Linked DNA regions of Oryzias latipes. The protein of the gene in region 2 interacts with the protein of the main gene of each other region in a pairwise test. Links are inferred from orthologs where the notes say so. Each region holds a gene or a part of one and is shown on either strand. Other genes may lie near its edges. The genes, in order: prkag1, keap1, nfe2l1, lsm3, heat shock protein HSP 90-alpha, putative transcription factor p65 homolog and etf1.

Region 1 (3,968 bases), on a different chromosome or scaffold from region 2:
TGAAACTCGGGTAAAGACGACCTCAGAGGAACTCACAAACAGCTTCAAGAACTTGAGAATCCTCTTGTGTGTGAGTATATACAGGGTGTTCCCTGTCAGGGGGTCGATGACTGGCAGTCTGTGAATCTTGTTCCTCAGTAGAGATGACACTGCATCATACAAGCTATGGAAAAAAATCCTGTGAGATTCTATGTAGACTTTTTGGTCAGCACTTTTTTAAATGACAGATGCTAACATAAAGAAGTATAAAGCTAAAGCTTTTGAAGTGTGAAAAACAAGCCCACCGTAAGCTGAAATTTGGAATAGCAGCCACCAATATAGCTTCATGTCATTATTGCTCCATTTTTGGGGGTTAATAAGGTACAGATCCACCACCAGTGTGTGAATGTGTGAGTGAATGTGTGTGTGACTGGATGAATGGGTCTGTGACTGTAAAGCGCTTTGTCCTTGTAGGAAGAAAGGCGCTATACAATTATACACTATTTACCATTTACCAGATTACCTTTTCAAAAACTCTGACATAGTTCAGTACAGAGCCCAGTCAAGAACCTATTGCTTTCAGGCATTTGCAGATTACAGTGGAATCCCTGAACAAACATGTCAAGCCATTTCCTAGTTTCTCTTTTGGGGTAAGATAATGTCAAACTATTCCATCAGTGTTCCGGAGATGACCTATTCAATTACCAGTGCTATTCCCAATGCCGGCCCTGAAAAGGCTTAGAAATGAGCAATTTTCTATGAGAACGCCTCAGCTGTAGATCCACCTTAAAGACCCACTCCAATGAAAATTGGGTTTTTGATGTTTTTAACATGTTCTTGTGGCATTTCTCATGATTGAAGACACATATAAAGACAAATTTAAGCTCAAAATTGCTATTCTGAGTATTGCTTTATTCAACTTGCTGTGAATTAGGAGCAGACACAAAAAAAGCGACGCATAGAAAAGATCGTATGTGTGACGTTGAAAATACCCTGGGCGGGCGGCCACAAGCACCCTGCTCCAAGCTCTCAGCGACCAGGAGGGGAAGGGGGGCGGGGTTGCTCCACACCAACAGTCCCACCCACAAATCATAGGCAAATTTCTAATGAACTACTGCCGCTCTACAGAAACTATGTCCTAGAGAAGATTTGTTGACTTTGGCTAAAAATGGCATAGTCACAATTAAAAGACCACTGGGAACGCTTTGAGAATAGATCAAAAGATGATAGTATAATATAGGCAAAAAAACAAAAGACATTGTTTGCCCACTCATCAAGACTTTAAAGTAAAAAAAAAAAAAAAACACAAAGGTTTAAAGTGCTACTGCTGCTCACCTGGCATTGGGAGAAATGCTAACCAGAGGTTTGAAGGAGTCTTGAAGGTACAGTTCTATTGGAAACATAAAAGATCTTACTGCAGTGAACGTAAGAATAACTATGCAGCAAAACTTGTTCCAACCATTCCTACCTCTCCATGTTTCAATCTTGTGTTCTTCTAGTTCATAAATCTGAACCTGAAAGTGTAAATAGAGTATTAAAGAAAGTAGCTACTGTAACTAACATAGAAGTCTTGCAGCTGAAGTTGGACATTTGAAGGCTTCGTCCACTGGCGGACTAAACCATCTTACCAATGGTGACTTGTAGTAGCGATGCAGAATGTTGATAAAGTCTGTGATGGTAAGCATTCCTGTAGGGGAAAAAAAACATGAGCTATAAAGATGTTTATTCACTGAACTGAAATCCAACAAACAAAACAAATCTTACCGACAAAGCACTGTTTCTTACTGTCCCACAGAGGTGCTGCTCTCACCCCATTGGACACGAGAGCAAAGAAAGCCTTCTTCACCTGCACAATTATTGACAGTTACCAACGTTCAAGTGTTCATCTGATGGATTAAAAGGTTTCTCTTACCTGAAGTGATGTGTCAAACACAACTAGCTTGGAGCTGGTAGGTACAAGATCATAACAGCGATGAGACTTCATAAACCTCGTGTACGCATTGTGTTCGGAGTCTGAAGAATTGATCAAAACAAAAATGAAAACACACCTCAGTCAGTCTACGTCAGAGTCATAAGATCTACAGAAAAGTCTGTTACCTTCAATGACGGGGTCTTTCTTGCCCTCAAGATCATCAATAGTTACTGGAATCTGGGGAAACAATTACATAAAATAATAAAAAGAGCAGTTTAAAATATACCAACTGTACCAAAATCATAGGTTAGGATGGCTGACCAAATAACTGGATTAACCAAAGAACCGGAGTGAACATGTTAATGATTATTTGAAACACACCTGCGTATTTTGCACCATGTCAAAGTTTCTTTTAATAAATATATACTTACATTTGTTAATTTACCCGTTTGTAAAATAAAAACAATTTCCGTTGACGAAACTGGTCCGACGTTGTTCATTTAACCACCAGGAGAAGCCACGCAAAACAACAAACTAGTTCCTGAGAAGATGTTCATGAATAGATATACTTTAAGACGAGGTTACAGGTTATAAACATGCAGAAAGTACTTTAAGAGCCTTTGTTACTGGTTTTCTCTACACTAACGTGTTAGCTTGTTAGCTAACGGTCTGTCTGTGTCAGTCATTTACCTTCCCTCTCGAGTTAATTATTGGTTCAAAGACTTTAAAGAATGTCTTTATTATGCTTACTACAATTTAACCCGTTTATCCATGTTTGAATACCCGTAAATAAACCGTTTCCGAGGCCGAATCCTCAGATAGGGAGATTTCTAAACACACAACCGACAGATCGAAAACAAACGTGAAAAATAAGTTCGTAGCTAGCAGCTAACGCTAGCACTGTTTCCAACGTCGGCTTTAATGATTGTATGATGAGTTAGGAGCATATTGTGAGTAGGCTTTTAAATGTGCCCAAATAAACAGAGCCAATCACTTACACAATCCATATTCCATTGCCCGTTCGCCTCCTTTTGACCGGGGTGACAGGACGCCGCGCCAATCTATTTCCGCTCTGACCAGAGGAGCTGGACATGCGCAGTAACGAAGTCGCTGTAATCGGTGTCTGAAGTGTACACAAACAAATCTAGCCCAACCTTTTTAACGCCGCGGACCGGTATGGCGTCATTCAAAACTTACACGGTCTTTAAGATGTGGCGGGCCACTTTTGTAGGCAAGTTATGGAGGAACGGAGACATTAACATTACGAACACCAAGCTTTTATTTTGACAGACATGTCGTACACCGCACAGGTCTCATCCTCTCCCCTTCCCACTCTCGTGGTGCAAAAGAGAAGTACTGTATCAAATGTAGCTTTTTTTTTGGAAGTGGAAGGCTCCTCTTCTGCCTCCTGGCTGGCCCCTTTCCCCTTGGCAAATAAACTTTCCAAAGGAGTTTGTTTTACTCCTTTTGTTAGCTCCTGGGTTTTATTCTAGCGGTAACCCATCACGTGACCGAGAAGAGCGCCTTGGCCTGCGTCCAAGTGACATAGACGGTGTAACAGAATCGAGCAGTTTTTCAAAATAAAACATCTTTCAGATTCCGAAATAAAGCAAACGGATGACAGTTATTTATTCTGTGCGGCCCGCCAAGACCCAAGGACCGGTTATAGAACACATTTACATTTCTGGAATAAATTATGTCCTCAATCTTAAAATAAAACATGCAGTGGTTGTTTTCTTTTTTTTGTTACTTGTGACCGAATGCCCTTACATTTACACCCCAAATGGAGACTGGATTTGGTAGTGGTTAGTATACAATGTGATTAAAAACTTGACACAAGTTCCATAAAATTGAAGGTTACAATATACTCGTACAGTTGGACCGCGCTCCAACACTGCATGAGGGCGGCTGCCTCCAGGGACTCCTCAGCCTCACTGCACCAGTGGATAGCCACCAACAACCCCAAGGGAGATCTCCAATCCAAACCCTCATCAGGAGTACCTGTTCAGGGCCGCAATACACACAAACAAACCACAACCCCAACAGTGATTAAAAGAAAACACAAAACAGAGGAGGA
Region 2 (3,972 bases):
GAGTTATGACATTGAAAATAGCTTGAGAGATGCCAGTTCCAGCTGGGCACGCCGTTATACACTGGCCCTCCAGCATGCTGAATGGGAGTTAAAGATTGATGTTGCTGTAATTAAGTTTAAACTACAGAGTCGGGAATCAAAGGGATTTCTTTTAGATCAACTGCATTTGTCACAAAACTCTCTGTCTTTCCACACCTGCATGATACTGACAGAAGCCTGTTAAACATGCCTGTTTGTTGGAGGAATAAAAAGAAATATATGGCAGTAGCCAATTAAATCATGCTCTGAAAGTCTCTTATTAAATCTATGTTGGTCAGTTAAATTCCCTAAAGGAACCAACTCATCAGATGGATCAAAGCTAAACTATGACCGTTAAAAGTAAAACAAATGTTGAGATAAATGTGTAGGAATCCAACAGTTTGACTGCTTGTTGTTTGATAATCAAGAAGAGATCCAAAGGCGTCACTGGTGGGTCTGAGAGCTCTTTGAAACGGAGAAGGAAGAACTGAAGTCTATACTTGAAAAAAAAAAACTTCCTTAAGATTTTCCAGAGCTGGATATCGTTTGTTGTGCCGCTGCTTTCAAGCAGGCAGGGAATTTAGCCGACAGCTGAGGGGAGAAGGAGAGAAAAGGTTTGTGTTAGGAAGCCTCAGATAAATTCTGTGGTCACCACATGATCCCAGTTAAGAACCTTTTAACATGCCACTGTAAAGATATACTTTTTATACAGACGTGTACAACAAAAGTCTAAAAACACTAACATTAAAGATATAAAATAAAACAACATATTTGACTTTAAAAACACACTGCTAAAGTACCTTCAATTGGGCATAAATCCAGCTGACAAGTATTTACTCTTATCCTGTGACCAATCCAGCTGATAGTAAGAAGAACATAGAAAACACTAATTATTTTCAGTTAATCAAACCCATTGTTTTGTTTAATTATTACATGTCATGAAGATAGACATGAACATGAGAATTTTTCAGGCTTGGTGGGGCAAGAACATGACTGAAACATGGCAGAGATTGCTCTCCAGGCTGGTTTGGACAAAAGTACGTCAGCAAGGACAGAATGGGCACGGGTCCACGGGAGGACAACAACTCGACTATTGCATAATGTTAAAATGACAGAGGGGTGGAGGGTGCAACAAAGTGAATGCAGGCCAGTTTACTGTCATCACAACTTCTCCTTTACAGAACATGAAGCAACAGGGATATGAAAGACAAAGAGCAGACTGTGGCCAATTTGACTGGTGAACTCTGAATAGGAAGAGTCAGTCCGTCAGCAACAATCCTAACACGATTACTTATATAACCAACACACCATAGGTTGTATTGAGGGACGAGATAAAAAGACAAGTGTTTTACAGTTCGTAGAGTAGGAAAAAGACTATTTTGTTATCAAAAGTCATGTGTTTAAAGGCTGCTGTGGAGTCAGCCAGTGACACTTACAGTAACACGAAACACACTTTATGACACTGATTTGAAACTGCACTTTTCTTCCTCCTGGTGACTAACAAGGAAAACAGAACATTCCAGAACATATTGCTCAACATGCTATCGCTCACAAACAAGCAGCTAGCGTATCAGTCTGGTGAATGTGGCATTTCATCTCTTTGGTATTGAACTGAGAGGGTAAACTTATTTATTTAGCTGGTGTTCAGAGCATTTTGTTTTGGTTCAAATCTTTTTCCAAATGAGCAAGGAGCTCAAAAAGTGTAACATTTTCAATAACATAAACATTATTATGTCATTTTACTTTTTTCTCAAGATATTTATATTGCAAAAAAATGAGAGTTTGTGTTGCATTGTCATTTTTAGTAACAAAAAAGTTCAATAAACCCCTGCACCTCAATTTGGGAACCCCCATTTGAATCAACTTTATTTATAAAGCACCTTTCATACAAAAGGTGCAACTCCAAAAAACGGGCCTGCAATCAATAGCTGTCACTTTAAAAAAAAGCTGCAGAAAATCTGTGGAGACCACAACAACTTGGAGAGACTTTCACTTCTAGATTCGTCGCCAAACTTTGTGCGAAACAGCCAACGCGGAGGGGGCGAGGCCGAAGACAAGCAAAGAGCGTCCAACGTGTTTTGTTGGCATTCGTGGTGGAGGAGGAGAGCTTCCCTCGTTGGTGACTCATTGCGAGCTATTCGCCAAGCCAGAAAGAGTGGAACTGAATGTACCAAAACGCGACCCAGAAGTGGAGCTGGTTCTTATGTAAGCCCGGGGATGGAATTAGATTTCCATCCCGTGCACCTTTCCTAGAAGAACTTTCACACAACGCGAAGTTTAGCTTTCACTCCACACTGACTAAGGTCATCATCTACACTTACTACAAGCTTGTTTTCGGCTGAAACTGCCACAGAGCTGGCATGCAACAGCAAAAACACAGATGAAGGTGGACCAAACTGAGGTCTAAAAAGATAAAAAATTCCGCGGTCTCATTGATTGGAAGAAAACACCGAGGTGGAGGTAACGCTATCGGCAGCAGCAAAATAAGCCCCTAAAATAGACAGTGGAGTAACGTCTGAGAACTGATAGCTACAAACATGCTAACAAAGAGTAAGTACTCAGTCTTACCGCCCAAAAAACCTACTTTCCGTTCAACCGAACTGACAAAACCGTACTGATGGACATTTTAAAATTTAACTGTAAAGTAAAGGCAACTCACGTACTCTCTTATTTCCAACGTTTTCTGCCGAGCTGTGCGCCACATAGGAAGGAGGAGGGGAGGCTGTAACTCACCGTGACTAAGCATTGTACTAGTCAACTGGCCTTCACAATAAAAGCATGCTTCCTGAACGTCGGGACCGCCTCCATTGACGAGCAATGAGTCGTGTTTGCGTCAGGGGGTGGTAGGCTTTTATTGGGAAAGGAGTCTCAGAATTAAAAAAAAACAAAAAAAGAAAACCAGGCCAAAAGGTTAACTTTGAGTTAAAATTGTGACTTATTGCTTAACAAAACTGTTACAACCATTACAGTTATACTTTACTCATATGTTTATCCTCTTAAATAAGCATTGCATCTACACAAGAACAATTCAATCTTATAATAAGAACATACATATGTCACTCATACTCAGAAATCTCTGAACCAATCTACATTAAAAGAAAACATGATGCAGCTCTCTCGCAATCATCTTATCTAACAATTATTTTTTATCAGAAAAAAAATCTGCCTTGCTTCAGATGGGACCAAAACACATTTTGGCTTGTGCTGACACACCAAGTTTTTTCACTCCTGCAAACTGTGAAATCCGGGTCAATAGGGTAGTAGCCTACATAGCAGCCTTGTTTTTAAAAGAAATCACAAGGTGGCAGTAAAAGCCAACAGTTACAGCTGCAAAGGTCAAGCCTCTGTTGAGTCATGTCAGTAAGCTCATTTGTCAGCAGAGATAAAAACAACCGTCTTATAGATTATTTCTGCACACGTGTTCAAGTGTGGGAAAGAAAGCCTGACTGCTGTCTGCAGGAGTATTGCAAAAACCTGCAATCAGCATCTGGGAAAATTTCGATATTGTTAAAGAATCAAACGACAAACAAAACCAGAGCAATGAAACCAAGTCTTTTGTTAACCCACTGATAAACTGTGCTTTGCTGAGACAATAAGAGCGGGATGCATGTGAGTCAATGTCTCCTCCAGATGTGTTTTCAGACCACATAAATCACACACAACAAAATGCAAAAAGAGTGATGGTTCGCCTAAGAAAATATTTTATTATTTGAATGAAAAGGAAGGTAACAAAATACAATTCACATTACAAGTGTTATAAAAAAACATATTTTTCAGTAATGAAAAATTTGTCGCTACATTAAGTTCAGCACAAAATAGAAAACTGTCACATTCATCCACTTCGACTGTATTTCAGCCGCAGATATCTCAAGAAAAATGGAAACGTTTGTGATGATTGACAGAAAGAAGTATTGTAGTTACAGCCCTGAAGTTTTCTTGAATTCCCATAAAATA
Region 3 (4,153 bases), on a different chromosome or scaffold from region 2:
TGCCGCCATAAGATGTCAATTAAGTCAATGTCCTGGAAAACATGAGGTTGCCATTATTATATGGCCTTTTACACAAACTGTTAGTTCAACTCATAGATTCTGCACAGATAATATAACGGAGTAAACCGTAAAACCATAAAATTGATGCCTGAAAACATTTTCCTTTTTATGACAGCATGAAAACTTTAAATTAGAGCTTTAGGCTGTTTATCACAACTTTTCTTTCATTGCACTAGGAGGAGTCAGACCATGTAACACAAATCAGATGATGCAACTTTGGCAGTGATAATCATGTGATAGGGAAAGATTCTGCTGCATCAATTTAGCCATTGTAAGTCCATCAGACAGGTTCCCCTCATTAACACAAATATCACATCTAAAAGTTGATCTGTATATAGAAACTTATCTCCTTTTTTTCTTTAATGCAAATTTGTTGTTAAAATTTAGGGAGTATAGTGCTTATTTTTCAGTTAAAAGTTGACCAATAAAAACGAATTTAACCAACTCAACTGGGTTGGTTAAAACACTGGATTGACGACCAAAAATATTTGTAAATAATCCAGTTTTAACATCTTTTGAATAGGTAAAATCTTTGAATACCACATATCAAAGCATTGTGTAGATAAGCATTTTAAATTGTTATCTATAACTATGTCTGCCTGGCTTGTTGAGGGATCAGGTTTGAAATTACTTTATGTTGCTGTGTAGAAATTTCAAAAATTTCTTAGCATGTTTTTTTCTCCAGCAATAGATATACCCATGAACATGTTTTTGCATCCACGGTGCTACCTCTTTGGTAAGGTCATCATTGCCATCCGCGCTGCTCTGCTCCTGATTACCCTCTGGGGCCACGGCTCCCAGGCTGCTGTCCGCTGCATTCAAGTTGTATGAGGATTCAGGGGCTGCAGCTCCTCCTCTCATGGCCGGGGTCGAGTCGATGTTGTTAATGTCCTCTAGGCTGGCCCCATTGTCCAGGGTTATGCTGGGGCTGGACTGGCTGCTGGTGGACACCACTGTCTCGGTCTCTCGATGCACTAGCCAGGTGTTGAGTTCTGTGCTGGGGACAGAGAGGCGGTCCAGCTGGCGCACCTGGTTTAGCAGCCGTCGAGTTGTGAAAAAATGGTCGAGGTCCACACTCTTTGGATGGATCCCATAGCCATCCAGCGTGTTGCGCAGGTTGTGAAACTGTGTCTGCGTGTAAGCTGAGCTAGGCCCCAGGATGATCTCCCTTAGTGGGGGCAACTGATTGCTTAAATAAGTGTCAACGTCCACCCTCACCCCAATGAGACTCAAAAGGATGGTGAACTGAATCAGGCCCTCTGTGAAGTACTTTTTCAGGTAAAGCATTTCTTTTCAAAGGAACAAAAAATAAAAGTAAAAAAATAACAACAAAAAAAGGACCAATTCTGCTTGCTTAATGACTCTGTGCTAATACTAGGAGAGGAAAACAGATACATGAACATAGAAGTGGAAAGAAGTGGGGGGCGAGGTGTTTAAAAAAAAAAACAACCAAAAGGTTATTTGTGCCTAAAAGGTGTTAAAATCCAAGTTGAGGTTTCCACTTCTTAGAATCATGCCTCTTTGGATTGTTCTTCAAAAGACTTTCATCTTTTAGTCCTGTAAAAAGTGGAAAATCGTATTTTAATGCACTACTACTGCATATCACACCAGCTTGCACATACTAGCCATTACATTGCTTTCGGACTTAAAACACTCGTCGTACGTACCCATATGTGTTGAGAACATTGTACAGGACTTGCTAGCCAAATGCAACCACTTTATCCTCCCAAGACTGGAAAAGTGATGTTAGTTCGCATCGCCTGACCTTTTCTATTCTCGGATATTCAAGCAGACAGTGATGGAGCCGGGAGTTTAGGCATAACCCCACCCTTGACCGAGCAACTACTTCTATCGGATCCCGCTGAAGGTGAATGGGAGTCAAGAACGCTCACCGGACTAGCTCACGCACGAACCGACGTTGGGTGACGGGCTGGGTTCCTCCCTCCTCCCGCACAGCTGCGCCTACCTTTGTCCTTATGACGATGGCTGTGTTAGCAACCTTATCTTTTCGGACCAGCTATAGCTAGTATACATCTATAACCAAGGTATAACGCATCTTCGATAAGATGTGTCGCCGGGTGATATAGTTAGCCCACTTCTAAGTTTAACCCCCCAAAGTGACAGGTGCATCTGCTAATATTTACTATTTTACTTCCGTTAAAGCGGCAATCACACAATCTCCTTAGCAACAAGTGGTGAAAAGATGAGTGACAAAGTGGACAGCCAATCACGGGCCGAGTTATTAACTACGAAATATGACTCCAGTCCCACCTGGCCAATAGGAACGGAGAGTGGGCGTTCCTTAAAGAAAATGCTTCATTGGAAGTCCAACAGTAAACTGTGCTAGCTTTTGCAGGCTAAATTGCTGTCAACTCAGTGTATCGAAAAATACTTTAAAATAGTAATTTTAAAACGCAAAAAATAAACAACCATAGAATGATGTTTTAATCATGTGTTTCCACGTTAGCATTCCCCATATACCAGCAATTTATCGGAGCTACTAAATAGTGCTAAAAAATCTTAATAGAGTACAACTTACCCATCGAGAATATTTAACTGGGTTTTCATACCAGAAGGTTCAATCTCAATTAAGACTGGTAAATAAGTCCAGCTTTATCAAAGGTTCCCCACTGAGCCCGTTATACCACTCCAACCTTCCCTTACTGAATGGCCTACCATGACTTGCAAAATTGCTAGCTGGCCAGGCTAACTTAGCAGCGCTGCTTGACACCAAAACACGCGCGCCCACAGAGCATGCGTAGAACTTTCTAGTGTAAGGTTTTATCAGCCGACGGAAAATCCCCCCACTGGTAATAATAACAGCTGTCAGGACAAGCAAAGTCGCCGTTTTATAATGTCCGACTGAATTTCCACTTTATAGCAATCATGAAAGCACTGATAGCAAAAATACACATTTTAATAATATTTGAAATGTGTCCTTCCTTCCAGCGAAAAAAATATATAAGGAATATAAAAAGAGGCTGAAATGTTTTTTTCTTCAAACTTACATATATGTATGTATGTATATATGTATATCTTATTTTACTTTCTATGGTTAAAATACAGTATGTCAAATAAAAATAAAGTAGGCAATGCCTTAAATAACAGCTTTAAAATAACACCATCATATACTTTCACAAATGCCTGCTAAAAATAATGCTTAAATGTGAAACAAGTTGTATTTCTGTTAGACAATGTAAGTAATTTGTCAGTGCGTAGCAAAAAGCAGTCTATTAAAGAGTACTACAAGTATACTTAATTTATACTAAGTCAGGCAGTATGCTCAAAGTTTATTTTTTATATACTATCTATATATGGTAAATTTGAATGTCAAATTTAGTCCGAAGAAGCATTGTTAGTATCCTTCCTACACTAGATGTAATGGTCAATAGTAGACTTGCTTATACTTTCACTCAGGTATACTTAATAAAACAATCTTTAAATGTACTACTTTTTTGCTAAGGTAAGAAACTGTTTTACATTAATCATTCACTCACAAATCAACAAGAAGGATAATTACAAAACATTTTTTATTTGTCCTTTCAATTATGAGAAATATTTTTGAAACATTTGCAATATTAATTATACATTAACCCCCATCAGGTTGACAGGTCTGTTGTGGTATCTCTTTGAAATGTCAGCTTCAATCTGCAAAGACAAAAAACAGACACAATAATTGACAAAAAATACTTATTATAATTGATGAGTCTTTGGGATGCTAAAAGTGCATCACACTTAAAAAATAAAAAGAGAAAGTGGATAGAGATTAAGAGTCTCAGTGTTGATGCTTTAATGCAACCCTCTCATCTGGAAAGTACCAACTCCAAAAAGTAACACAATACCAGTTTCTGGAGTTCCCGGGTGCGTAGTGCCAGCAGGTCGACACGGGGTTCAAGTCTGGACTGCTCCTCTAAGGCTTCCTGCCTCTTCTCAACCATTGTGGAAGCTTTAAGCACCAGAATGTCTGCCTGCTTCAGCTTCTGTCTCAGCATATCTGACACACGTTCAACATACCTAAACAGAAACAAAAAGATAAAATGATAATTTATTGGTCAAGTGTTCAAAATGAAAGCGACAAAGTTCATCAAAAACA
Region 4 (4,261 bases), on a different chromosome or scaffold from region 2:
ACTACTTTTTTTCCCATCTCAACACAATTTGACAACACAGAAATCAACTTGTGATTCACAGTTTTTAATTCAGCAATCAAAATAAAATGTTGAAACATCCAACCTACATTTAAGACACCAAAAACGACTGTTTTGTGACATTTATATATGTTTAATATAAAAGCATTACTAATCTCATGGGTTTCAGCAAAACAAGTGAAGGCAGATTACATGTATTGGCGTTTGGGTAACCTGTGTGAATGTGTTTGAACTGTTAAATTAAGAGTATAGCATTAAAAATAAAAATAAAAGACAAAAAAAAAACATTTTGGTGACTAAAAATTCTAAACCTTGTGATTAGAATGAAAGTCAGTTTGCTTACTAATCTTTTTTTTTTTTTTTTTTTTTTCTAACTTGTTCTGTCCAACTTCTGAGCAAACAGATTAGAGCTGAAGGCTTTTTGTGTTGGACAGGTTTTACTATCACAAAAAGAGGTTATATAGCTTCAAGAAACTAGAGTGTAGATTTGTATAAACCCCTTTTTGTCGTATTATTTTTTATTTATTTGTTACATTTAGTGTGTGTGGGGAGGGAGAGGGGAAGAATGTGAGGGGAGGGTGGAAGAGAGTAAAAGGAAGAAAGGTGAAAAGGTGGGGGATACAAGCACTGATTTGACTAAGTTATTAATTTAAGCTGTAACAATTATACCAGATCTGCTGGAAAGACGAATGTTACATCAAAGGTCAAAATCTGACACTAAGATGAGCGGAAAAAAAACTGTCCATCAATACACTGTAGGTAAGGAGGAGGGATGAAGCAGACAGGGAGCAGTGTGGCAGTGTGCACGTGCACGTGGGGGTGGAGATACATGCATGCTGCCGACGTGAACCGTGTGTTCATAAAGGGAGCCAGATCCTACCCAGCCAGACCAGCCAGACCAGGAGAGGGGAGGAGAGCCCCCCAGGCCAGAAGCCCCCCCAGCATCCGGACCCAGGCAGCCCGGGAGGGGAGGAGGAGGGGACCGCCCACCCCACCAGCCAGGCACAGAGAGGGCCCCCCTACAGGGGCCCCCCCAATGCCCAGAGGCACAAGCGAACCCAGTGTCCGGCCCCCAGGCCACAAGACAGGAGCGCTTAGCCGTACCAGGCGGCAGCCATGGGGGCCACCGGGCGCCGGACACCGAGACAAAGGCCAGGGACGAAGCCAGGGCCCCGGAACCCATGAGCCGGCCACCACCCGACCAGCGCCCCGTCCCCGCAAGCCAGCCCAGGCACGCGACCCTAGCAACCCAGGGATCGCCACGCACCCGCAGCCACAGCCACCCCCCTAAAACCCGACGCACTACAACCCCCCCCCCGCCATAATATCTGACCCCCCCTCCCCAACCCTCTCAGTGCCCTCCCCTCTCTGTGATTGGGAGGGAAAGCCCCAGAGGGTCCCAGCGAGCCAGCCCCCAGGTCGGTCCTACCCATGCACTCACACACACATACTCACAATCATCTGGTTACCCTCCCTACCCCCGCCGCCAAGCAGTAACCCCCCCCCCCCCCCCCCCCCCCCAGCCGGCCAACCCCCAGCGCCGCATGCCCGACCCCTCCCGCAGCCGACAGGACACCCATAAGCCTGGCCGCCCTGAGAGGACCAGGCGGGTGAAGACCGGCCGCCCCCCCCCCCCGACCCCACCCATGTATGGAGGTGTGGGAGTGCTGTGTGTGTGCTGCAGGTAAAATAGGAGGTCACCAGTGTGGGGGGCTCCACCGCTGCCAAGCCGCAAAGCCCCCCACTCCGGAGTCCCTCTGTGAGTGGTGTGTATTTGCTGTGTGTGTGCTGCTAGCATGCAGTGTGTGTGTCTACAGAGGAAGTTAAAATTGTGGGGGGGCCAGCGAAAGGTGAGCACGGATGTTTCACCGTGCCCCCCTCCACCAGACCCTCTCCACAAGGCCCTAGATGAATCAGAGTGTCTAATATGCAAGTAAAAAGCGGGGAGGAGGGCGGGTGCCAACGAGAACCCAGAGAGGGGCATCCCCAGTGAGCCCCGCCAGCATACCCCTCCCATCCAGATCCCGGGGCCCTATGTGCCTGTGTGCAATATTTGTTTGGGTGAGAGCGGGGAGGAGCGGGCGGATGGGCACAACCGGGGGAGAAGGCTCCCCCGAGCGACCGGCCCCCCAGCCGGCCGCGGTAGGCGCCCCCCCCCCTCCCAGAGCGGCCGGCAGCCAGAAACGCCAAGCGTTTCAGAGAGTAGAAACCTCAAATGTAAAGTTTCAGTCCTCGAGGGCAGGTGTCCTAGTCTGCCTGCTGTTGATTAGCAAAACACACCTGAGGTAACCAGAATCAGAAGAAGGCCGTTTAATGAACACAGCAGAATGCATGCCCTCGACGGCTGGAGCTACAGCTGTTGTTTTCCCCACACATTTTACACAAACTTTCCTTCCTGTATAAACTATTTAGCTGCCTGGTTAGCACTAAAGCAATGAACTGTGTTTCAAACCAAACATTTGCGTTCAATTGAAACACAGGAACACCAAGGCTAATAATTCGGCTAACTCGGTTAGCCGCTTCCACGGCCCCAAACAGGTCAAAAACGTTCCTGTAATAACCTTAAAGCACTTTAAAAATAATGCAGCGTGCAGCGCAGTCTGCACTTTTAGAAGCAAAGTGGGCTTCTGTTCGTTCGTTGTAAGGTTAAACATATAATTAGCGAAAGAACCGCTAACCTGCTCAGCTTCGTCCGCCATACTGTTCGAGCATGCGCGCGTCGATTCCGGTACGCAGGTTGCCAGGTCCGGTGAAATTAAGATTTCAAACGGCAACACACACGTGCGTTTCGAATTATCCCTCGATTTCCAGTTCAACAAAGTTGAATTTTATACAAATAATTAGTTTACAATATATATCTATGCGTACTTTGAGAATGTGAAATGTTTATTATTAAAACTTATGGTATCAACATCCATCCTTAAAAGACTAAATTTAAAGTATGTGTAAATCCATACATAGTCCTTACCTAAAATTTAAATACAACACAAACATCTCCTTGTTGCATCCCTGCCACTTTTAAATTGAAACAACTGAAAAGACTAAACTATAAAGAAAAGAAATTCACCTTTCTCTCGACGCGTTGCGTGTATGTTCAAACCTGGCAACGTTATCCAGTACCGTCCTTTAGCGTTTTCCAGAGCTTTCTGTCCTCACAGGACACTGTCGTGTCATCCGCGCAGAGCAGCGAGAAGGTAAATTAATTCATAAATATCTGTTCATTTTGAGGTATTTGTCCTGTCTACACTAATATTCCAGAGCGTTTTGAGTGGTAGTAAAGCTGTTATTGGGAATTCAGTGTCTAACGGGTCTGTTTAGAAATATTCCGTATGCGAAATGTTAATGTAAACGAGAAATGAAATGTAAATAGTTACACATAATGAAGCTTTCCGTTAGTGAGAAAACCGTTAAAATTCTTTTAAGAGAGAATATATTCCTAAAATGTAATCTGCAGTTTATTCAAATATTTATTTTTAATGATTACACTAAATAATTAATCGATTTATTAATTGAAACTAACAGACCAAAAAAGGCTATTTTATGTTCATTGATTACTCTTTTCAAAGTCTTGCATTTAAAGATAAGAAATCGTTTTAATAACAGTCTAAAATTATAATAGGTGGACTTAAAAAGCAGAAAAACGAAATAAATTGCTTTTCAATTATTATTTTTTTTATTAAAAATAACAATTTCTTGTATACAGGATACCAACCAAGTGTTGGAAAATAAAAAGCAAAATGCTATTTAAGTAAAGATAAAATGATGCAGCGGTTGTGATTTATTGCGTCATTATTTTATTTTGGGGAAAAAACTATATTTATTGAACATCACTAGTTTAGACTGGTTAATGTAACTAAATGGGTTGCAGACGTTCTGTTTGTGATGTCATACACAGCCTCTGGTCCTGTGAGGCTGCTATTCTCCGCGTTGTGTTTGTAGGGTTACAGGTGTGCGCCTCCTCTCTTCTCAGGACGATCCAGTTCTTCATACTGGATTTGTCAGTGGGAGGGGAGGCAGATCAGAGCAGTGGTACTGCCCATTCCACCCTCAGCTACATCATGGCTTTGTGATGGAAGAGATCCTGCAACAAGCTCAGACAGCACCGCAAACAGGCTCCACGCTCAGTTCACACTGTTTCCTGTTTATACTGCTCTTCACTGAGAATCAGTGAGAATTTCAGGTGGACTAACACTGTTTTTCTGCTTGCTCAGCAGCTCAGGGCAAATGGGTAATTGGTGAGAAG
Region 5 (4,210 bases), on a different chromosome or scaffold from region 2:
CCCCTGATGAAATCTGACAAATGAAAAGTAGAATTCAGTTTAGTCATTTTGCTCCCCGCTCACCTCAGATTAGAATAGAATCCAGCAGGTCCGGACACTTACTGAGATACTCAGGGATGAGCTCATCACAGTTGTCCATGATGAAGACTCTACGCACGTAAAGCTTGATGTTGTTCTTCTTCTTTTTGTTCTCAAACAGGTCAAAGGGGGCACGGCGGGGCACGAAGAGGAGGGCACGGAACTCCAGCTGCCCTTCCACTGAAAAATGCTACAGAGGAAGGAAAGGGGGGGTTCAGAAAATGTTTCCCTTGAGACCAGATTTCCCCTCAACTTCCATCTGAATCACCAACCTTGACAGCCAGGTGATCCTCCCAGTCGTTGGTGAGACTCTTGTAGAACTCCCCGTACTCCTCGTTGGTGATGTCGTCTGGGTTGCGGGTCCACAGTGGTTTCGTTTTGTTCAGCTCCTCCTGGTCGATGTACTTCTCCTTGATCTTCTTCTTTTTTTTCTTTTTGTCTGAGGACTTGTCATGGTCATCCTCTTCATCTGACCCCACATCCTCAATCTCAGGTTTGTCCTCATCCTTCTCTTCCTCGTTCTTCTCCTTGTCTTTCTCCTTCTCCTCTTCCTCAGCCTCGTCGTCACTCACCTCCTTGTCCCGCTCCTTCTCCACCTGCAACCACAGAAGGAACAGTTTCAGCTCACTCGGATCAGAATACATCCCCTCGAAGTAAAATACAGGGTTCTGATACGTACAAAGAGTGTGATGGGGTAGCCGATAAACTGAGAGTGTTTCTTCACAATCTCCTTGATCCTCCTCTCCTCCAGGTATTCTGACTGATCTTCTTTCAGGTGGAGGATCACTTTGGTTCCTCGGCCCAAAGGCTCAGCTAGACATTGAAACCAAGAGTCAGTCAGCACACGAGAACCACAAACACCAGAAGCTGACATTCAAAAGCCTCACATTACTTACAATTGTCCAGTTTCACTGTGAAGGAGCCTCCAGCAGAGGATTCCCAAGCGTACTGCTCGTCGTCGTTGTGTTTGGTGATGACCGTCACCTTCTCAGCCACCAAATATGCAGAGTAGAAGCCCACGCCGAACTGCCCGATCATGGAGATGTCGGCTCCGGCTTGTAAAGCCTCCATAAATGCTTTAGTTCCAGATTTGGCGATGGTTCCCAGGTTGTTGATCAGGTCCGCTTTGGTCATTCCGATTCCCGTGTCCATCAAGGTCAGCGTCCGCTCCTGTTTGTTTGGCGTGATTTCGATTTTGAGTTCCTTTCCCGAGTCGAGCTTGGCGGGGTCAGTCAGGCTCTCGTAACGGATTTTGTCCAAAGCCTGTCGGAACAACGGATCCATGAACTTCCTTTTAGACGACCTGCTCACTTTTCATTTAGTACAACTGCAGCCAAAATGCAATTCTATGGGATTTAAATGGAATTTAAATTCATAAAAATAAAAAGCAGATAAAAAAAAAAAAAAAAATTCAATCAAAAAGAGACAAAGCCCAATGAGCACTGCCTAAGAAGAAACTGTCCAAGAATAATCAGTGAATTTAATAAATTAGCATTAGATTCAGTGCAGATGAAATATAGAAAAAAATCTTAGGCTTGTGTAAACTTACATCTGAGGAGTTAGAGATAAGCTCTCTGAGGAAGATCTCCTTGTTGGAATAGAAGGTGTTGATGATCAAGGACATAAGCTGAGCGATCTCAGCCTGGAATGCGAAGGTCTCAGTCTCCTCCTCCATTGGTTGGTCATGCATCTCAGGCATCTGAGTAACAAGAAAATATATCCTTTAGCTTAAGTTAACTAAAAATTAACCTTTAGTTATTGTTCCAAACACAAACAGCTTTATAGTCAAGATAGTGGGTTTAATAGAATGAGGGACACAAAAAATGAGTAATCTGGTAAAGTAGAGTCTATTATTTTGAAAAAAAAAATAATAATTCTAATCCTTAAAATTCAGATATACAATCCCCTTTTATAATCCTCCTTTAAAATTGGTTTTCAGTTCACCAAGTCCGAAACTAAAAATCTCAAAAATATAAAAAAAATTGTTTACATTTTAAATATTTAATTAAATTTGAAAAATCTTTTGAACAAGTCTCCAATGGCCTTTTTCTCCATCTCTTCCATTTGCGCAGCAGTGTCGCCCTCTGCTGGTTACCCAGCGTAAGGCGAGTTTCTAGAAGGTACCAGGAGGAGAGCAGAGCACGCGCAGCTTCACGAGGAGCAGAAAGTCGCTGCTCTCATCAACCGTTTTCAGAGTTCGTATGAATGAGATGTCCGCACAAAAAAATAAAATAAAATACCGGGACCAGCTCGCCCGGCTAAAACAACGGCTTAAAACTATAACAACAACAATTAAATAACCCGTAAGCGCATAATGTTATACTGCTGACACATGCAGGGCAGCAGCATCTCATCATTACCACTCGACTGGACAAAAAAAGTGGTTCCTTTATTAACCCTTAGAGAAAAATTAAACATTTGAGTAAATAGTTTGTGGCTAAATGCTTAAAAAGTAATTCACCCTAATAATCAACGAAGTGTGCAAAGTTAACAGATTTAAGAACCTTATTTTAGTCTCTAATCACGACGAGTCCTGCAGCTCATTGTGAGTGCATCATTTACCTTGGTCCTCCGTGGGAGTGGAATGCTCCGCTATTGATCGCTGTTTCTCGCTTTCGTCGCTCCACTGCTTCAAAATCTGTCCCGCCGTTCGTCTCTCCGCTATTTGTACTCTTTCAGAGGCTTCGAGAAAAAACCCTGACGGGGGCTTCCAGAAGCGTCTGGAATCCTCCCGGCTGCGGCTTGGTGGTGCTCGCTGATAGGCTGAGCTACACGTCTGTCAACGCCCGGTCCCCGCCCATTTCACCATATTTGGTGTTGGTAGGTGGAGAATGTGGAGAGACTATACCAAGCGAGGAACACGTGTAGGAGTGGGATCTAGAAAGAACCACGCTGTGTGCATTGAAAATTCCAGAACTAGAAAGAAAAACCTTTTCAAGTTACGAACTTTCTTAATTAAAATGTGCTTCACATTTGCAGAATTGGTATTTGACATTTTTGGCTTTGAATATTTTAAAGTTTAGCATGCATTAGGTTAAAAAAGACAAAAGGCTCTAACCATTATATTTTATTAAAAATTTTAAAGTTTTACATACAAAATGTAAAAGTTACAAAAGAAACACAAGTGAAAGCTGAGAAACTTTTTATATAGCGAATTGAGTTTTTAAATGTTTCTATATACAGTGTTTCCATTTTGGCAAAAGTCAATTAATGTCTGTATTTGTTTTGTCCAGGCAATACAACACATGTTACAAAAATAAAATAAAAAACCTTTGAAAGGCCTGAAAAAAACATTTAGTCAACTTCTTCCATTCTTGATGTGTCATCATCTCCCTCCAATACTGGCATATCTTCATCAGTCGGCTGAATGATGTCTTCAACTGCAGAGTCGTCATCATCAATTCCTACAAAAACCAGACAGCATTCTTTAGCAACCAACCAATCTGAACTGTGGGAATTGTAATTGTGTTTGCAGGTATATAGGAAGTAAAACATACCAAGACCCAGTTTGATCATCCTGTAGATGCGGTTAGCATGTGTTTGAGGGTCCTCCAGGGTGAATCCTGAAGACAGCAGGGCGGTCTCAAACAGCAGGATAACCAGATCCTTCACTGCTTTATCATTCTTGTCCACTTCAGCCTTCTCCCGTAGTGTCTCGACGATTGGATGGAGTGGGTTGATCTCCAGATGCTTCTTGGCTGTCATGTATCCCATGGTGGAGTTGTCCCTTAGGGCCTGGGATTTCATGATCCTCTCCATGTTAGCCGTCCAGCCATAGGTGCTGGTGACGATGCAGCATGGGGAGGAGACCAGGCGGTTGGAAACTGTGACCTGTGGAAGGAGAAACAAAGTTTTTAATGATGAAATTCTGGTGATTGATCAAAATTTATGAGGTAAACCCATTTTCCAAGAGCATACCTTTTCAATCTTTTTGTCCAGTATATCTTTCATGATCTTGCAAAGGTTCTCAAACTTAGTTTTGAGTTCCTCCTGCTTCTTCTTCTCCTCATCATCCTCAGGCAGCTCCAGACCTTCCTTGGTGACTGAAACCAGATTCTTTCCATCATACTCCTTCAGCTGCTGGACACAGTACTCGTCGATGGGCTCGATCATGTAGATGACCTCAAGACCG
Region 6 (3,970 bases), on a different chromosome or scaffold from region 2:
CAATTCTTTGGTGTTCTCCCATGTTCCCGTCTCCCTGCAGAGGACATCGAGGTGCGTTTCTTCCAGGACTCCTGGGAGGGGAAGGGCACCTTCTCCCAGGCGGACGTGCACAGGCAGGTGGCGATCGTCTTCCGCACGCCGCCCTACCGTGACACCAACCTTGTTGAGCCAGTTAAGGTGAAGATGCAGCTTCGGCGGCCGTCTGACCGTGAAGTGAGCGAGCCTGTGGACTTCCAGTACCTACCAGCTGACCCAGGTAAGATGCACACATCTCTACCTTCCTAGGACATGTCATGCATTCATCCTCATGTGAAATCTTTCACTCTTCCTAAAGATGAATACCGGCTGAATGAGAAGAGAAAGCGGACAGCAGATGTATTCCAGAACTTGAAGCTGGGGTCGATGCTGTCCAGTGGTACGCTCACTAGATACTGTTAGCTGTTCTTTGAAGGTTTTTGTTAAAGTGTTTATGACCAAAAAAACGGCATCTGTTGTTTCAGTTTCCATCCCATCAGACCGGCGGCAAATGAACTTTGCAAGGAGAACAGTCCCACCTAAACTTTCCTCTGTGAATGTGTCAACCGGTGAGTTTTGATCCTAAATATTTTGCATCTGATGTTGTTCCTTTAAGGTTTGAATGTTGTTATTTACGGAAAATCCACTGAAAACAAAATAACACGGGTCTGCAACCCTTTATTGGGACAATTTGGCTTTCAAGAAAATGCTAATCGCTTGAAGAAATTATAGGTTATTTAATGAAGTTTAGTCATGTAACCGAGCCTGTGATGGTTAAAGGTTTCATCTACTGTCAGAGTAGCTTATTATAAGAATGAGTGTAGAGCTCCTACTCTGATCTTCAGATGCAGTCATTCAGAACCAAAGAATTGCATCTATATGCATAGATTTTTACAGAAAATCCGGATTCTACGCCAATGTTGTCATGTTTATATTTAATAAACAGCTAAAGGACAAAAAAAGAGGAGATGTTTGACTTGTCGACTGTATCTGAGAAATGGACTGAGTGATGTCATTGATAGAAAATGGTTTATTTCAGCCTCCAACCAAATGAAGTCAGTTCAGTCGCCTTTTATTTAATATTTTTTTTGGATTGGTCCGAGTCGAGCTGAGCCAACGTTTCTATTGCAACTATTCTCACCAATCAGGAGTGAAATTGTTCGAAGGCCACACCCCTACGACTTATAAGCAGACTCAGTAGAATCTGTCAATCAAATGTTTCGAAATTTCAACAGGGCACCACCTACTTTAATTGAGGCATCTGATTGGTCCTTTTATAATTTGAATAACTACAGAAAAAAAATCATTTGAAAAAGATTAATACGTTTATAAAAATGTATCATATCAAGAATTATTGACCAATAGAATGACTGAGTAACAACTGCTTATTTTGGCTTCTTGGAACTAGCAGGTACTTCCTGTTTGGAACGCTGGGGGGGGGTCACTCAGTCCAGTTCTCATATACAGTCAATGGTTTTACTTGGGTTTCTTGTATTTTTTTTCAAGTAAATCTTCCGTAGCAGGAGGCTCTCATTTGACACAGGATGTTTTATTTTGAAAGGAACTTACGTACGTAATGCTGTCAAAAGTAAAATATCTTAAATTTGTTTCTACATAGAAAAACATAACACAGTTATAATTCAATTATAGTAAATATTTACGAGCTAGATTTTATGAATGAATGCCTCGATGGCCACAAAAACATGAATCACATTTTCTAAACATGTAGTGGAACTTTGCGGCTCTGGCTGAGTCTTGGTCTTAAAACACAAAAACTTGGACAATAACTGTTCCTTAACTTTAGTTACTGCAAATATTACTGAAGCTTCACTCTGATCATGTTTTTATCTATTTTCAAAGTGTTAACAGTAATCTTTTAATGACGTTTTTGGCCTAAATCTAAACATCTGCGGTCGTCTCCAGGACATAGTTTCTGCAGCGCGGCAGGAGTTTGTTAGAAATGATCCTCTGAGTTGTGGGCGGGGCTGTTGCCGCCTGCCTGTATGTAAGGATAGAGTGGAATTGCAGCTGTTGAACTGAAACTGTTTGTTTTTCAGGGACCGAGACGCCCCCTGGTGCCAGTGCAGCCAAACCACAGGCCCCTTTCCTCTTCACTCAGCCGATCCAGGCCCCTGCGCCGCACAAGAGGGAGCTCCCCGACGCAACTTCAAGCCAACCCTGGAGATTTATGGAGACTCTGAAGAAAGATTTACAGACCCCCTTCGCAGGGAGTTCTTCATCAGCCGCTCCCTCCTCCTCCACCACCATCAGCGCCTCCACGGCGAGCAACCAATACCCCACAGTCAACATAGCAGACCTTCAGGAGTTCTTCCCCAACATTTTGTCCCCCATGAATCAGGAGGCAGAAGCCACTCAAGCTAGTAGTGCGCCCCCTCAGGCCAGCAGCTCCTTCCCCCTCCAGGCCTCGCAGTTCTCCACAAACCCCGCAGAAGACGACCTCCCAGAGTTCCCCAGCTTCTCTGAGGGCCAGGTCCCCATCACCCTGGATAGCCTGAACATGGACGACTTTGAGGACCTTTTGAACGTGGGCGGGGGTGGCGCCGTTCCCATTGGAAGTTCGGGCCAGCAGCCCCACGCCACCGCACCTCCCCAGAATCCCACAGCGGGCCAGAACCCCTCGGACCCTGCTGGCAACCCAGGAAGCACCTGGATGAACTACCCCAACAGCATCGTCAACCTGCTGCAGAGCGAGGGCATGATGGACGCCGCCCCCCTCAACAACCACCACAGCGGCTACGCAGAACCCGACGACTACCAGCTGCTGTCCGCCGACGACGACCGCCTCATGTCCATTTACGAAAATGAAAATCACGCCGAGTTTGTGGCGGGACGCCAGACCTAAAGGACCCTTTCACCAAAGACTTCTGCTTTCTGCCTTCAGGACTGAAAAGATGCCAAGGGGAAACAGAAAGACCGCTCACTGTGGACAAAGAAACCCCCCAACCACAGATTCAGATCATGTCCTTATCATTACAGAACCATTATGTGGAAGACGACCCGCGCGTGTTCATCAGCTGATGATGGCGTCGCTTCGCTGACACGTGTTTGGCAGGTTTTTGTACTGTATCTGAACAAGTTTATCTGCTGTTTTTAGAGGAAGTTTGGGGTTTTGAATCCAAAAATGAACAGCCTGGTATGTTGGCATGTTAGCATTATACCCTTTTTTTTTTATCAAGTGTCCCTTTGGTTTGAAGTGTCATCCGAAGGTTTTGTCTGCGTGTGTAAAGAACCACATGAAGGTCTACATGTAAATATTTACAGGTTGAACATGTGCTTGCAGACCAGTCCGTGTTCCTGCTTCTGTTATCCTGGTGTTTCTACGGTTACTGTCCAAAGAACCGACTTTTCTGTTTTGCTTTTGGTCAGCAGCCCCCCCCTCCACACACAGACATTATGCCTAACCTTTTTTCACAATAAAATCGACAGAATGTAAAGGAATTCTTCAAAAGTGTTTTATTTGGCTGATCGTGGTTCAAACAGAACGAATTCTCTCAAACTATCAAAAACGTCTCAAAGTTCAGATTTCTGTCACCCTTCCAGCTCCGTAGGTTGTTCCAACCACAAGAAATGAGTGCAAATCAAATACTGCTGGAATTACAGATTGGTTTCTTTCCAAAAAAGCAAAATAAAGGAAGATCAAAACATCTGCAAATGCCGCTCCGTGGCCCGGTAAACAGGAGCAGAACTCTTAGGCGTCAGTCCCACCAAACGCGCTGCCCGTCCGGACTGGACTATGTCAGTTCCAGGTTGGTGACTTTGTTGAGGATGTGGGAACGCCGGGGGACGCACTCCAGGTCAAACCTGCTCTCATAAATGGTGGGGCTAAGTTCCCAGCGGTTCCTTCGGTAGATTCCCAGGTAGGTGTAAACGTCGGGTTTGTAGAACAGCGGGCACTTGATCCCCGTGGAGCGAATGACGGAGTCCAGCTTCATGA
Region 7 (3,931 bases), on a different chromosome or scaffold from region 2:
TACACGTTTCAAAACATTTCCTTGGAAAGAAGTACAAACTAAATAATTTTTTCATTTTTTATACATTCTCGCTTATTTGTTGTCCTTTTCATACATAAATACTTTGCAAGTAGTGTATTGTTCTTGAATATTGATAAACTTACTGGGTCAAACATGTCCGACTGGCTAAGTTCGGTTTTGAAGTCAGCAGATCCAGCAAGGACCATTCCTGCCACGTTTACTTTGTCATTGGACACAAAGAGCTGGACAGCGGTCTCAGCCACTTTCCTCACGTAGTTATGTCTTTTCTCCATTCGTAGACGAGCAAAACGCAGCGCGGACTGTCCTCCTCTGCCTGAAAGAAAGGAGAGAAGCACAATCCTGTTATTGACTCGCATCGACACTTAAAGAGCGGTTTTCGCCAGAACAGAGTTTTCTTTACCGTGCTTTTTGGGTAGGTCCACAGTGAACTTGTGCAGCACCTCCCGGGTGTTGCCTTGCAGTGTGCCAAACAATGCTCCACTACCATCAATCACAATAAAGCCAAACTTGCTGTCATCCGAAAGAAGGGCCGTCAACGCCTGTTGAGCAGAAACGGATAAAAAATGAATTTAAGCTACAAACAAAAACACAACAACAACCAACAGCTAAGTAAAGATACAAAGGAAACCCTCACCTCGGTGTGGAACTTGTTGTCACAGAGGTAAAGAGAGGTGTTGATTGGCTTAAAAGGTTCAAAGTCTATATTGACTTTTTTCTCCTTGCCTTCTTCTGTCACAATTGTGCCACAGTACACAACTAAACCGTTGGGTGGCACTGGCAACAGAGAGAAAAAGAAACCGCTGGATAAGACAGAGGAACTCAATTTCTTTTGCACAGAATGAAATTGATTTAAAAAAAAAAAAAAAAAAAAGGTGTCAACTTCATTAAATGTGATCATATTTGCAGTGCGTGATTCAACACGTGTAAACCTACCTTTGTTGTAGAGTTTTAGTCTTTGCTGTACAGAAGTGATGGCCCCAAGCACAGAAAGCCGGTTAACTCGACTCTTGATGTTGGACGCTGTGCCAAACTCATCAGCTAACATCTTGGCCACTCTGGAAATCTGGTCCTTAGGTGGGATGATCAGTGAGATCATACTGGTGCCATTACTGTGAAGAGGAAGAGTTTAAATGTTGTATATCTGTAATAAACTATTCCAGATGGGTTTTTTCTGTAAGGTACTCGGCTAAATAGTACATCTTTCCAAGCTTTTTTTTTTTTTTTTAAAGCCACTACTGTCTCTCTGTTACACTCTACATAATCACTGTCCTTGAAATCAAGGACTAAGTTAAAAGGACAACACAACAGGAAACTCTGACACCACCTACTAACACAGGGGCAGGTAGCGAGGTCTGTGTCTGTAGGGCAAATACTAGCTACAATGTGTGACATGGCAGGCATCTGAGAACAGGACAGCCAATTCTGCCCAGCAGGATCAAGCAACGATCAAGTAGCACCAAGCAGTACATTTGATAAATCCAGATCCCCAAAGGACACGGGTGTAAACTAAAGTAGCACTCTGGAGCGGTCGGTTTTGATCACGTCCATCTTAGACATTACTAACTAAGCTGTTCGGTTGCCATGAGGTGACCGGCAACAGTGAACCAAAAAGTGTCATATCAGCTCTATCATGTGAGCGTCATGGGGGAGAAAAAAAACCCCATTTACATTAGGAAAAGGCGGTATACACAGTAACCGAACGCCCGACTGAAACTAGCTGACCGGCCTCGCGTTTTTTGTTAAAGACACCCATGGCGGCCTCTGTCGTGAAATGACGTCTGAGTCGTGTTAGCGGGTACATTAGCAACAAAGCTAGCAACAATGCCCCTAACTTTGAGCCTCGGTGGAGCCAGGGAGGGGAAAATCTCTGCGGTGTCACTCACAGAAACATGACACACACAGAACACGACAAAACTGTACCTCAACACAACATTTATAACAACAAACCATGCTAAATAATGACACTTGGCGCGCCACATTCGGCTAACAAAAATAGCACCAATAGCTACGATAAGCTAAGTTAGCCATGCTAACCACTCCCAAATTCGGCCCCACTTATCAGATCTCCAGCTGTTGAGTGATGGCTCTGTTAATCCACCAAATGGATTTATAAACTCAGCTTGTTTTTCAACTAAGTGTCGCATTAGCAAGTAACACAGATCGGCAAATTACCCGCGGGCAGCTTCTAAACTTTTGATCAGTTTCTTGATTTTCCATATCTCCACGTTCCTGTCCGCCGCGCTGGGGTCGTCCGCCATCTTTCTGCTGTAATCGCTTCAGCACCTGAAAAGATGTAAAAAGAAGTAAAGGGAATTAGACGAAGGAGGAAATGTGTCGATGGACACAGCCGCGGTTAATATGGCGCTTCTTTTTGAACTATCTGGAGTCTGTACCTCTTCAAACCCCTGGCGCCGTGTCCGCTGCTACACCTGACCAGAGCTGGGCAGCTGGACAAGCTGTAAGGGAAGAGCTGTAGTCTGCCTATTTGCACAGAACGTGGATAGCACCAGGCCTGCTGTCTACTAGGCCCCAGCGCACACCCCGTTCTTATCTAATACGACCTACTTTCTTAACATTACATTAAAATCCAACATAGATTTCCTGACGCGATTTTTGTCGGGAAAATCGGAACCGTTACTTTACCTGCCACGGACAACACCGCTCCACTCCGTTCTCTATCGGCTGCTTTATGTCGAGTCGATAGTCAAGAGGAATGACGTTGCTTTCCCGACCGGTTTCTCTCCCTCACACGCTGCGCGTGGTGCTACAGTCTGGAGATCACATGTGGGAGGTGATTAGAATCGTGGCGTTCACTTCCTAGAAACTGCATAGAAACCAATCATATGCCTCGGATGATCTGTCACTCAAAATTAGATCAAACCGATTGGATGAAATCCAAGGCCGTCACTTGAGCTGGGTGGTCGTTTGTAACTGTGCATCATGGGATTTGAAGTTTTGGAAAAATGCTAGCAACAACAGCTAGGGCAGTTACAGGGGTTTGGTGTGAAAGGATGGAGAATAATAATTATTTTCACCATTGTTTGGTTTGCTTTCGAACATTGCACTATTAAAAAGTTCCCACTCTGATGAAAATTATGTTTTTGTTATTTTTAACATGTCCTTGTGGCATTTTTCTCATGATGGAGGACATATATACAAAAATACATTTCTGAGTATTTCTTCAAATTACGAATGAAGGGCAGAAAAAAATGCTGTTGAAAAAAGCTTGTAGCAATGACCTAGAAACTACAACTGGCAGACCACAAGTTCCCTGCTCCTCTTTATTCTGATGCATCCTTTTGCACACAACTAGATCCATGTACATCTTAGTTTTATGCATCTGAGCTGGCATGTGGCTCAAACTGTATGGCTGGATAGATCATGTAAGCTTGAGATGCACAAAAAAATAGGTGATGGGAAGAAAAAAAAAAACACTGGGAACACTTTTACAGCAGATTAAAAGATGATTAGAGAGGGACATTAAAGCCTATAGCACACCAGTTGGGCCAAACCATTCCAACAGCACTACAAAGTTAAACTTTGTGCACATCATGCTTAAAAATTTTCCGAGAAACTCGATATTTAAGTATGTGAATAGTCCTTAGGAAAGATACTTCAAGTTAGCCAGAGAAAATTTGCTTATCTGCTGTAAACAAATCTCCCCGTGCATGGATGGGTTAACCCTTTAAAGCCCTTCTCCAATCACCTTTTGATCTATTCGAAAAGATTCAACATTTAATCACAGCTTTTATCTGTCGCTCAACATCAGTCCGAATAATCTTTCCTGCTGGGCTTGCACTGTCTTGTTCGCCAAGGTTTTGTTATAAGTAATAATTTCCTTCCTTTCCCTGTCTTTTAACACATCAGAAAACGTGCCACGTTTTTATTTGCCTCCTTCACTTTTATCTCT

The links.
Region 1: the proteins of keap1 (region 2) and prkag1 interact in binary tests that used the Homo sapiens proteins (3 or more experiments, as listed by UniProt). The two-hybrid records come from large-scale screens. The link is inferred for Oryzias latipes from reciprocal best matches to the Homo sapiens genes KEAP1 and PRKAG1.
Region 3: the proteins of keap1 (region 2) and nfe2l1 interact in binary tests that used the Homo sapiens proteins (3 or more experiments, as listed by UniProt). The link is inferred for Oryzias latipes from reciprocal best matches to the Homo sapiens genes KEAP1 and NFE2L1.
Region 4: the proteins of keap1 (region 2) and lsm3 interact in binary tests that used the Homo sapiens proteins (3 or more experiments, as listed by UniProt). The two-hybrid records come from large-scale screens. The link is inferred for Oryzias latipes from reciprocal best matches to the Homo sapiens genes KEAP1 and LSM3.
Region 5: the proteins of keap1 (region 2) and heat shock protein HSP 90-alpha interact in a two-hybrid assay, tested with the Homo sapiens proteins (2 studies listed by BioGRID). The link is inferred for Oryzias latipes from reciprocal best matches to the Homo sapiens genes KEAP1 and HSP90AA1.
Region 6: the proteins of keap1 (region 2) and putative transcription factor p65 homolog interact in binary tests that used the Homo sapiens proteins (3 or more experiments, as listed by UniProt). The link is inferred for Oryzias latipes from reciprocal best matches to the Homo sapiens genes KEAP1 and RELA.
Region 7: the proteins of keap1 (region 2) and etf1 interact in binary tests that used the Homo sapiens proteins (3 or more experiments, as listed by UniProt). The two-hybrid records come from large-scale screens. The link is inferred for Oryzias latipes from reciprocal best matches to the Homo sapiens genes KEAP1 and ETF1.

Annotation. Positions count from the first base shown.
Region 1 is NC_019863.2:4,033,369-4,037,336, reverse strand, and holds the start of prkag1 (5'-AMP-activated protein kinase subunit gamma-1), read right to left. Parts: upstream 2,801-3,968; 5' UTR 2,392-2,800; coding exon 2,323-2,391; intron 2,129-2,322; coding exon 2,077-2,128; intron 1,993-2,076; coding exon 1,892-1,992; intron 1,826-1,891; coding exon 1,744-1,825; intron 1,667-1,743; coding exon 1,608-1,666; intron 1,494-1,607; coding exon 1,448-1,493; intron 1,370-1,447; coding exon 1,315-1,369; intron 164-1,314; coding exon 37-163; intron 1-36. UniProt on the Homo sapiens protein: AMP/ATP-binding subunit of AMP-activated protein kinase (AMPK), an energy sensor protein kinase that plays a key role in regulating cellular energy metabolism.
Region 2 is NC_019859.2:10,401,000-10,404,971, reverse strand, and holds the start of keap1 (kelch-like ECH-associated protein 1), read right to left. Parts: upstream 2,801-3,972; 5' UTR 2,682-2,800; exon of another isoform or gene 2,678-2,681; intron 2,605-2,677; exon of another isoform or gene 2,587-2,604; intron 878-2,586; exon of another isoform or gene 819-877; intron 610-818; 5' UTR 1-609. UniProt on the Homo sapiens protein: Substrate-specific adapter of a BCR (BTB-CUL3-RBX1) E3 ubiquitin ligase complex that regulates the response to oxidative stress by targeting NFE2L2/NRF2 for ubiquitination.
Region 3 is NC_019877.2:19,058,808-19,062,960, reverse strand, and holds the start of nfe2l1 (endoplasmic reticulum membrane sensor NFE2L1), read right to left. Parts: upstream 2,801-4,153; 5' UTR 2,600-2,800; intron 2,473-2,599; exon of another isoform or gene 1,728-2,472; intron 1,618-1,727; 5' UTR 1,348-1,617; coding exon 790-1,347; intron 33-789; coding exon 1-32. Other genes in the region: cdk5rap3 (CDK5 regulatory subunit-associated protein 3), read right to left, coding at 3,643-3,708, 3,903-4,074.
Region 4 is NC_019863.2:18,333,459-18,337,719, reverse strand, and holds the start of lsm3 (U6 snRNA-associated Sm-like protein LSm3), read right to left. Parts: upstream 2,801-4,261; 5' UTR 2,718-2,800; coding exon 2,697-2,717; intron 1-2,696. UniProt on the Homo sapiens protein: Plays a role in pre-mRNA splicing as component of the U4/U6-U5 tri-snRNP complex that is involved in spliceosome assembly, and as component of the precatalytic spliceosome (spliceosome B complex).
Region 5 is NC_019882.2:17,294,550-17,298,759, reverse strand, and holds the start of heat shock protein HSP 90-alpha, read right to left. Parts: upstream 2,801-4,210; 5' UTR 2,641-2,800; intron 1,778-2,640; coding exon 1,628-1,777; intron 1,342-1,627; coding exon 975-1,341; intron 892-974; coding exon 758-891; intron 675-757; coding exon 351-674; intron 269-350; coding exon 103-268; intron 14-102; coding exon 1-13. Other genes in the region: heat shock protein HSP 90-alpha 1, read right to left, coding at 3,373-3,482, 3,576-3,909, 3,997-4,210. UniProt on the Homo sapiens protein: Molecular chaperone that promotes the maturation, structural maintenance and proper regulation of specific target proteins involved for instance in cell cycle control and signal transduction.
Region 6 is NC_019876.2:27,225,088-27,229,057, forward strand, and holds the end of putative transcription factor p65 homolog, read left to right. Parts: intron 1-40; coding exon 41-256; intron 257-334; coding exon 335-415; intron 416-500; coding exon 501-584; intron 585-2,072; coding exon 2,073-2,878; 3' UTR 2,879-3,470; downstream 3,471-3,970. Other genes in the region: UPF0696 protein C11orf68 homolog, read right to left, coding at 3,768-3,771; UPF0696 protein C11orf68 homolog, read right to left, coding at 3,768-3,970. UniProt on the Homo sapiens protein: NF-kappa-B is a pleiotropic transcription factor present in almost all cell types and is the endpoint of a series of signal transduction events that are initiated by a vast array of stimuli related to many biological processes such as inflammation, immunity, differentiation, cell growth, tumorigenesis and apoptosis.
Region 7 is NC_019868.2:15,426,116-15,430,046, forward strand, and holds the start of etf1 (eukaryotic peptide chain release factor subunit 1), read right to left. Parts: upstream 2,801-3,931; 5' UTR 2,665-2,800; intron 2,478-2,664; exon of another isoform or gene 2,415-2,477; intron 2,305-2,414; 5' UTR 2,280-2,304; coding exon 2,194-2,279; intron 1,131-2,193; coding exon 955-1,130; intron 796-954; coding exon 656-795; intron 561-655; coding exon 422-560; intron 335-421; coding exon 144-334; intron 1-143. UniProt on the Homo sapiens protein: Component of the eRF1-eRF3-GTP ternary complex, a ternary complex that mediates translation termination in response to the termination codons. The eRF1-eRF3-GTP complex binds to a stop codon in the ribosomal A-site.